Linked DNA regions of Macaca mulatta. The protein of the gene in region 2 purifies or fractionates together with the protein of the main gene of each other region. This does not show direct contact. Links are inferred from orthologs where the notes say so. Each region holds a gene or a part of one and is shown on either strand. Other genes may lie near its edges. The genes, in order: CAMKK2 and OBSL1.

Evidence for each region.
Region 1: the proteins of OBSL1 (region 2) and CAMKK2 purify together in Homo sapiens (affinity purification with mass spectrometry; 4 studies listed by BioGRID and IntAct, with this or other methods). This does not show direct contact. The link is inferred for Macaca mulatta from reciprocal best matches to the Homo sapiens genes OBSL1 and CAMKK2.

Annotation. Positions count from the first base shown.
Region 1 is NC_133416.1:128,648,258-128,652,731, forward strand, and holds the start of CAMKK2 (calcium/calmodulin-dependent protein kinase kinase 2), read right to left. Parts: upstream 2,999-4,474; 5' UTR 2,892-2,998; coding exon 2,759-2,891; intron 1-2,758. UniProt on the Homo sapiens protein: Calcium/calmodulin-dependent protein kinase belonging to a proposed calcium-triggered signaling cascade involved in a number of cellular processes. Isoform 1, isoform 2 and isoform 3 phosphorylate CAMK1 and CAMK4. Isoform 3 phosphorylates CAMK1D.
Region 2 is NC_133417.1:124,794,315-124,797,002, forward strand, and holds part of OBSL1 (obscurin-like protein 1), read right to left. Parts: intron 2,209-2,688; coding exon 1,942-2,208; intron 1,168-1,941; coding exon 1,055-1,167; intron 508-1,054; coding exon 351-507; intron 181-350; coding exon 19-180; intron 1-18. UniProt on the Homo sapiens protein: Core component of the 3M complex, a complex required to regulate microtubule dynamics and genome integrity. It is unclear how the 3M complex regulates microtubules, it could act by controlling the level of a microtubule stabilizer.

The DNA.
Region 1 (4,474 bases), on a different chromosome or scaffold from region 2:
CTAGCCGCGCGTGGTGGTGGGCACCTGTAGTCCCAGCTACTCAGGAGGCTGAGGCAGGAGAATGGCGTGAACCCGGGGGGCGGAGCTTGCAGTGAGCCGAGATCACGCCACTGCACTCCAGCCTGGGGCACAGAGCGACTCCGTCTCAAAAAAAAAAAAAAAAAGAAATGTCGGGCACAGTGGCTCACACCTGTAATCCTCCCAGCAGGTTGGGAGGCCAAGACAGGTGGATCACCTGAGGTCAGGAGTTCAAGACCAACCTGGCCAACCTGGTGAAACCCCATCTCTACTAAAAATACAGAATTAGCTGGGCGTGGTGGCGGGCACCTGTAATCCCAGCTACTCAGGAGGCTGAGGCAGGAGAATCACTTGAACCCAGCAGGTGGAGGCTGCAGTAACTGAGCCGAGATCGCGCCACTGCACTCCAGCCTGGGGGACTGAACGAGACTCGTCTCAAAAAATAAAAATAAAAAAGGTTAACACATCCCCTTAGGCTGTCAATTCTTACCATCTCTGGGACCGAACATTAACCTTTGGTTAACGTGTTTGACAAATTCTGCTGGACAAATGTCACAGGTACCGCTGGAATTCAGGGAGTACATTTGTGGACAGACACCTGTGGATGATGGCCACTTCGTGCTAGTCACCCACATCACAAAGGGTCTCTCTGGACCAGCCTGGCCAACATGGTGAAACCCCGTCTCTACTAAAAATACAAAAATTAGCCAGGCGTAGTGGCACATGCCTATAATCCTAGCTACTCGAGAGGCTGAGGCAGGAGAATCGCTTGAACCCGGGAGGCAGAGGTTGCAGTGAGCTGAGGTTGCGCCATTGCACTCCAGCCTGGCAACAGAGGGAGACTCCGTCTCAAAAAAAAGGAAAAAAAAAGGGCCTCTCTAGATGTCCCAGGAAAAGAGTGGGGGCCCAGTAGAGATTTTATGAATGAATAAAATGGTATCTCTGATGACACTGGGTGGTAGTGGGGTAACAGAGAGGAAGGTACAGACAGCAGAAAGCCAGAGCTCCCTGGAGGATCTGGCTGAGAGGCAGAAACTGTCCCTCAGTGCTCTCGGAACGGTCCTTTCAGAAGAACTGATGGAATAGCTACTATGCCAGCATGCGGCAGGGAAAGCCCAACAGGAAAGACAAAAGGGAAAAACCCAACATCCCAGCCCTGTCACGGGCCTGACTCATGCACACAGAGTGTGTGGTAAGAGAACGCCAAAGAGTCCAATCATGTGGCAAGATGTTCAACCTCATAGTAAGAGAACTGCAAATCCAAACTACAATGAGGCAGCCTGCTGGCTCCCCAAACAGTTAAACATAGAGTTATCATATAACCAGCAACTCCTCTCCTAGGTACAGACCCAAAAGAAGTGAAAGCAGGGATTCAAACAGATACTTGTACACTAATGTTCATAGCAACATCATTAACAATAGCCAAAAGGTATAGCCAAGTGTCCATCAATAGAAGAATGAATAAACAAAACGTGGCAGAGCCATACAACAGAATACTATACAGCCACAATAAAGAAGGAAACTCTGACTCATGCTACAACACAGACGAACTGTGAAGATATATGCTAAGTGAAACGAGCCAGATACTAAAGGACAAGTGTTGTAAGATTGCAGTTACATAAAGTATCTAGAATAGTCACATTCAGGCCAGGTGCAATGGTTCACACCTATAATCCCAACACCTTGGGAGGCCAAAGCGGGCAGATCATTTGAGGTTAGGAGTTCCAGACCAGCCTGGCCAATGTGGTGAAACCCCATCGCTACTAAAAATACAAAAATTGGCCGGGCGCGGTGGCTCAAGCCTGTAATCCCAGCACTTTGGGAGGCCGAGACGGGCGGATCACGAGGTCAGGAGATCGAGACCATCCTGGCTGACACGGTGAAACCCCGTCTCTACTTTAAAAATACAAAAAACTAGCCGGGCGAGGTGGCGGCGCCTGTAGTCCCAGCTACTCGGGAGGCTGAGGCAGGAGAATGGCGTGAACCCGGGAGGCGGAGCTTGCAGTGAGCTGAGATCCAGCCACTGCACTCCAGCCTGGGCGGCAGAGCGAGACTCCGTCTCAAAAATAAAAAAATAATAAAATAAAATAAAATAAAATAAAAAAATAAAAATACAAAAATTAGCCAGGCGTGGTGGTAGGTACTGTAGTCCCAGCTACTCAGGAGGCTGAGGCAAGAGAATCACTTGAACCCGGGAGGCAGAGGTTGCAGTGAGGTGAGTTTGCACCACCACACTCCAGCCTGGGTAACAGAGTAAGACTGTCTAAAAAAAAAAAAAAAAAAAAAAAAAAAAAAAAAAAACTTTAAAGGAAAGAAAATACCTGTAACCATGATTGGAGTTATGATGATAAGGCCTAGGATGCTACGGGATCAGATGGGGCAGGAGGTCAGGAGAGGGAAGCAGTTGGTCTTATCTCCTATTTCTCTGTCCCTCATTCCCCCTTACTGATCTGAGAAAGAAAGAAATCAACTCTGTCCGTCTCAGCTTCCCCATCAACGAGAGAATACAACTCAAGTTCGATATTTCTCCGTGGCCCTAGCTGCTGCTACTTGACTTCTTTTCACGATCCTTATCTCTTAGAAGAGGAAACTCGGATCCCCTCAAGCTCAATAGCCTACGGTCATTGACCTCCTGTAAAGTTGGTGCCCATCCCATAGTCATAGGATTAGATGAACCAAGCACTCAGAATCCTGCCCGGCAAGTGGTTAAGTGCTCAAAAACTATTACTTCAACAAATACCTGTTGGATGCTGATATGGTTTGACTCTGCATCCCCTCCCAAATCTCATCTTGAATTGTACTCCCATAATTCCCGTGTGTTGTGGGAGGGACCCGGTGGGAGACAACTGAATCATGGTGGCAGTTTCCCCCATACTGTTCTCGTGGTAGTAAGTCTCACGAGATCTGATGGTTTTATCAGGGGGTTCCGCTTTTGCGTCTTCCTCATTCTCTCTGCCTGCTGCCGTCCATGTAAGACGGGACTTGCTCCTCCTTGCCTTCTGCCGTCCATGTAAGACGGGACTTGCTCCTCCTTGCCTTCTGCCATGATCGTGGTGCTTCCCCAGCCACGTGGAACTATAAGTCCAGTTAAACCTCTTTATGTTATAAATTGTCCAGTCTCAGATATGTCTTTATCAGCAGTGTGAAAACGGACTAATACAGATGCCCACGGCCTGCTCTGGTAGGTAGCCTATGCTCTGGAATGTTCCCACGAGGACTGATGTCCAAGCAAGCTGGTCTGCTCTTGAGTGTGTCTCTCAGCCCGGCCTGCGTCCCCCAGGGCAGGCGGTCAGTCTCTCCCCCATCCTAGAGCTGCCTCTGACAGGGCTGCAAGAGTTCCTGAGAAGAAAATGAGGCCCAGCAGTGCCTGGGAAAGTCAAAGGAGATTTTTTTTTTTTTTTCTCACCAACAGGAAAACAATTGCTTATCGAAGCCTACACCAGGCCAAGGGCACCCAGCCATCTGCCCCCGGCAAGGCTGTTTTTAATCGGCCTCCTTGGCAAGCTGGCATCTGGCCCTGGCCTCCCTCACAGCTCTGATGGAGTCTCGGCCTTTGCGGTCTGGAGGAGGATGGAGAGGAGAGATGGCTCAAACCCAGGGCGGGGACCTCGGCGCTGGCAGGGCAGGCGTGAAACCCCAGAGCTCAGCAGACAGGAGGCCCGGGGACACAGGCCTCAGTGCTGCAGGCTCTGACAGGAAGAGATGCATCCAGGGGCTTCTCGCCTCACAGACACCTACAGAGTCTAGGCCAGTGTCCTGAATGGTTTGGGAGTCACAGACCCTACAAAGACCTGATGAAAGCTACCAACACTCTGTGCAGAAGAAAGAAATCATGCAAAAAGACAATAGTTTAGCCTAGAAACAGCAACGGCTAACATTCAACTGAGCTCTCATCAGGCATCCAGCACCAAGCTAATCGCCTGGCCATGTAACCCTCACAGGACAGGCCCTCTGCCAGGGAAGGACAGTGAAGCATTCGATTCCAGGGGGTGGAGAGTGAGAGGACTTTTTTGCAAAGTTGCTTGGATTTGACAAAATGTCAGCCCTGGCCCTGCATCCTTTCCCATGAAATCCAGGCAGAGGCCATCCCCCAAGGCCGTGCCTCTACCCTGTTCCCTCTTACGGGGCAGCTCATCACGAGCCACCAGAGCCTTCCTGGAGCAGATGGCCCCGGGACCTGGGCCAGGATGAGGGAAACGCTCCTTCCTCTGCCAGGAAGCTGAGTGGCGCAGGCCTCCAGGAAACACCTTCTCATTTCCTAGGGGCTGTTTCCAACCTGCGTCCGCTGCCTCCCGTGCGGCAAGCTGCCAGTGGGTGCCAAGGAGGTGCTCCCAAGCCCAGACACACCTGTACAGGCTCCCCTGAGGTTGCCTCATCCCAAGCACAACAAAAAGGCCCAAAACAGCTCCAAGGATCCTGCCAAGGCCACGGATGATGTCCTGCCCGGGACATCAAT
Region 2 (2,688 bases):
GTAACCAGGAGGCCAGACCTTCCTGTCTGATGCGGACGCGGGCTCCGGGTCTCAGCGGGCGGCCTCCGAGCTCCCAGCGCCCTGTGGTCTCGACCTCCGATACGGTGCACTCGAACGTGGCGCCGTCGCCTTCACGGGCGCTCACCGACCGCAGCTCGGAGAGCACCGCCACCGTACGTTCTGGGGCGGAGCCCGGGGCGTGAGCGGGGCGGGGTGGAGGGCAGGTACCGACCACGCCCCCTCCACGCCCCCTTCCTAGAAGCACGCGCGGTCAGCAGGGTCGGGGGAAGACCGCTTCGCAAGTCTCATGCCCAAAGCAGTGCCCAGCCTCCGCATCACCCCATACCCACCGCGCACGGTCAGGCGGACCGGCCCGGCGCGGGTCGTCCCCACCGCGCAGCTGTAGGTCCCAGCGTCCGAGGGGCTGCAGCGCCGCAGCTGGAGAAGGCGGCGCGTGCCGAGGGCCTGGAGCCGGAGCCGCGGACTGGGAGTGAGCGCGTTCCCGTCCTAGGGGCGTGAGTTGCAGAGGGTCGGGGCGGGCCCGGCTGGGCACAGGCGACCCCGGCCCTGGCAGGCGGCAGCACCCTCTGTTAATGCCAAGCAGTCTCGAGGCGCGTTTATGCGTGTCTCGTGTTCCCAGGCTGGGGTCGGGCTGTCCCCACGCCTTTGGGGTCGTGCCAGGAGCCTCTTTGAAAAAGTGTCACTTTTTGGGGACCTTAGGGCCGCCAAGGTGCTCGGGAAGCCCAGAGCCAGGTATGGATCACAGGGGACATGGGCACGGATTCTGGAGTTAGGCAAACCTGGATTCAAATATGGGCTCTACCTTTTGTCTGCCCTTGGGTAGGTAATTTGTTCCACTGAGCATCAGTTTCCTCATAGGTATCACAGTGACAAGACCTACCTCCTAGAGTTGTCCTTGGAGTAAGGGATAAAATACAATGCAAATCTTAGCACAGTGCCAGGCACATCCGCTTAAGTATTAGTTGTTTCTGTCTGGGGCATTATTATTGTTGGTGTTATGTTGAAGTGGGCTGGGCTGGGGCTGGGATCTGACCTTCTCCCAGGTAACATCAGCCAAAGCTTGGGAAAGCTCGCACTCCAACGTCGCTGTGTCGCCCTCGGTCACCTCTAGGTCCTGTGGCCCCTGCACGATGGTCACTGGGACCTCTGGGAGTGGGAGAGGGAGGACAGTGCAGAGGGAGCAGGATGGGGACCAATCTTGTAGGGACAAGGAGGACATACACTTGGGCACAAGGTGTCAGTAGAGGACACTAGCGAGTGGGGGATGAGCTGGGACAAGTGGTCCAAGAAGGACCCGTCAGTGGTGGGGACGGGGGGTGGGGGGCGGTGGTAGGCAGGGCCACAGGGCCAATGGGTTAGGAGTGGCCAACCGGGAGTCACACTTTAAGGTGGTCAGTGGGGGAGAAGCTGGGGGCCAGAGGGCAATGGGGAAACAAGCAGAGATGCCAGTGGAGTGGTCAGTAGGAACATCCTGGGGCTGGAAGCAAACATGGGGGACACTCAAGCAGAGTTGCTAGTGATGTCACCCTCAGGCAGTCAGTGGATTTGAGGGACTGGACAGGCAGAGGGAGCCATGGCAGGCAGTGTAGCCAGTAGGGTCAAGTTAAGAGTGGTCAGTGGGATGGTGTGCAGGCGGGCAGACAGCAGTGACCACAATGGCATGGGCATGCTCACAGTAGCAGAGTCAGTGGTTGGCTGAGCCTGGGGCAGTCAGGGGCCACACTCAGGCAGAGGAGTCTCTGGGGCCACACACGGCCTAAGAGTCGGGGGGGGGGGTCACACTCTGGCAGGGATGTCAATGAGGGCCACACTGAGACAGGCATGGTCAATGGGGGTCACACGAGTCGAGGGTCAGTATTCATGCCTGGGGTGAGTAGGGCCACACAGGTCAGCAGGCAGGCTGTGGTCCTGGAGCCACACCTCTCACAACGAGTCTGGCTGCGCAGCGCAGGGAATCCGCCGTGAAGGAGACGCAGCCTGAGTCAGCCAGGCGCAGGCCTTTGAGTACCAGTCGGTGACTGTGGCCCTCTGAGTGGATGTGACACTTGGGCCCTGGATGCAGCCGGACTCCACCCCGGGCCCACTCCCCGGTTACACCTTCCTGGGACAGCTCCAGCTGGAAGGTGGCGCTGCCTCCCTCACTGACGGTCACGTCCTCCAGAGGCCGCAGCACCCTCAGCTGCCTTGCTGGCCGGGGGAGATGGAGAAAGGGAGGATGAGGCCTCCAGCTCTGGGCAGGGACTGCAGTCGATCCTCATCCCTTGGTCCTGCCTACACCCCCCAACATCCAACCTAAGGTCCTGACCAAAAAAGTTCAGAACCAGTGTGCAGGAAGAAAGGGGCACAGCGGACAGACTTGGCAGGGGGAGGGCTATATTAGGGTTAGGAGATGAGGGCACAGGAAGGGGGAGAAGTGTAGTTAGGGGGTCATGGAGTCTGGGTGAGGGGTACTGTGACACTTGAAGGAGCATGGAATTTGGCGTCAGACACACTAGAATGGAACCTCGCTCTACCACATAGTTAGTGTGCTGTGTGATCTTTGGCAAATGGCCTGACCTCTCTGGGCCCCAGTTGCCCCAGCTGTACAAGGTGAATAACACTGGGACACAGGTTTATTGTGATGATTTCTTGAATGAAATAAGTTAGAACAGATGTGTCACCAATGAC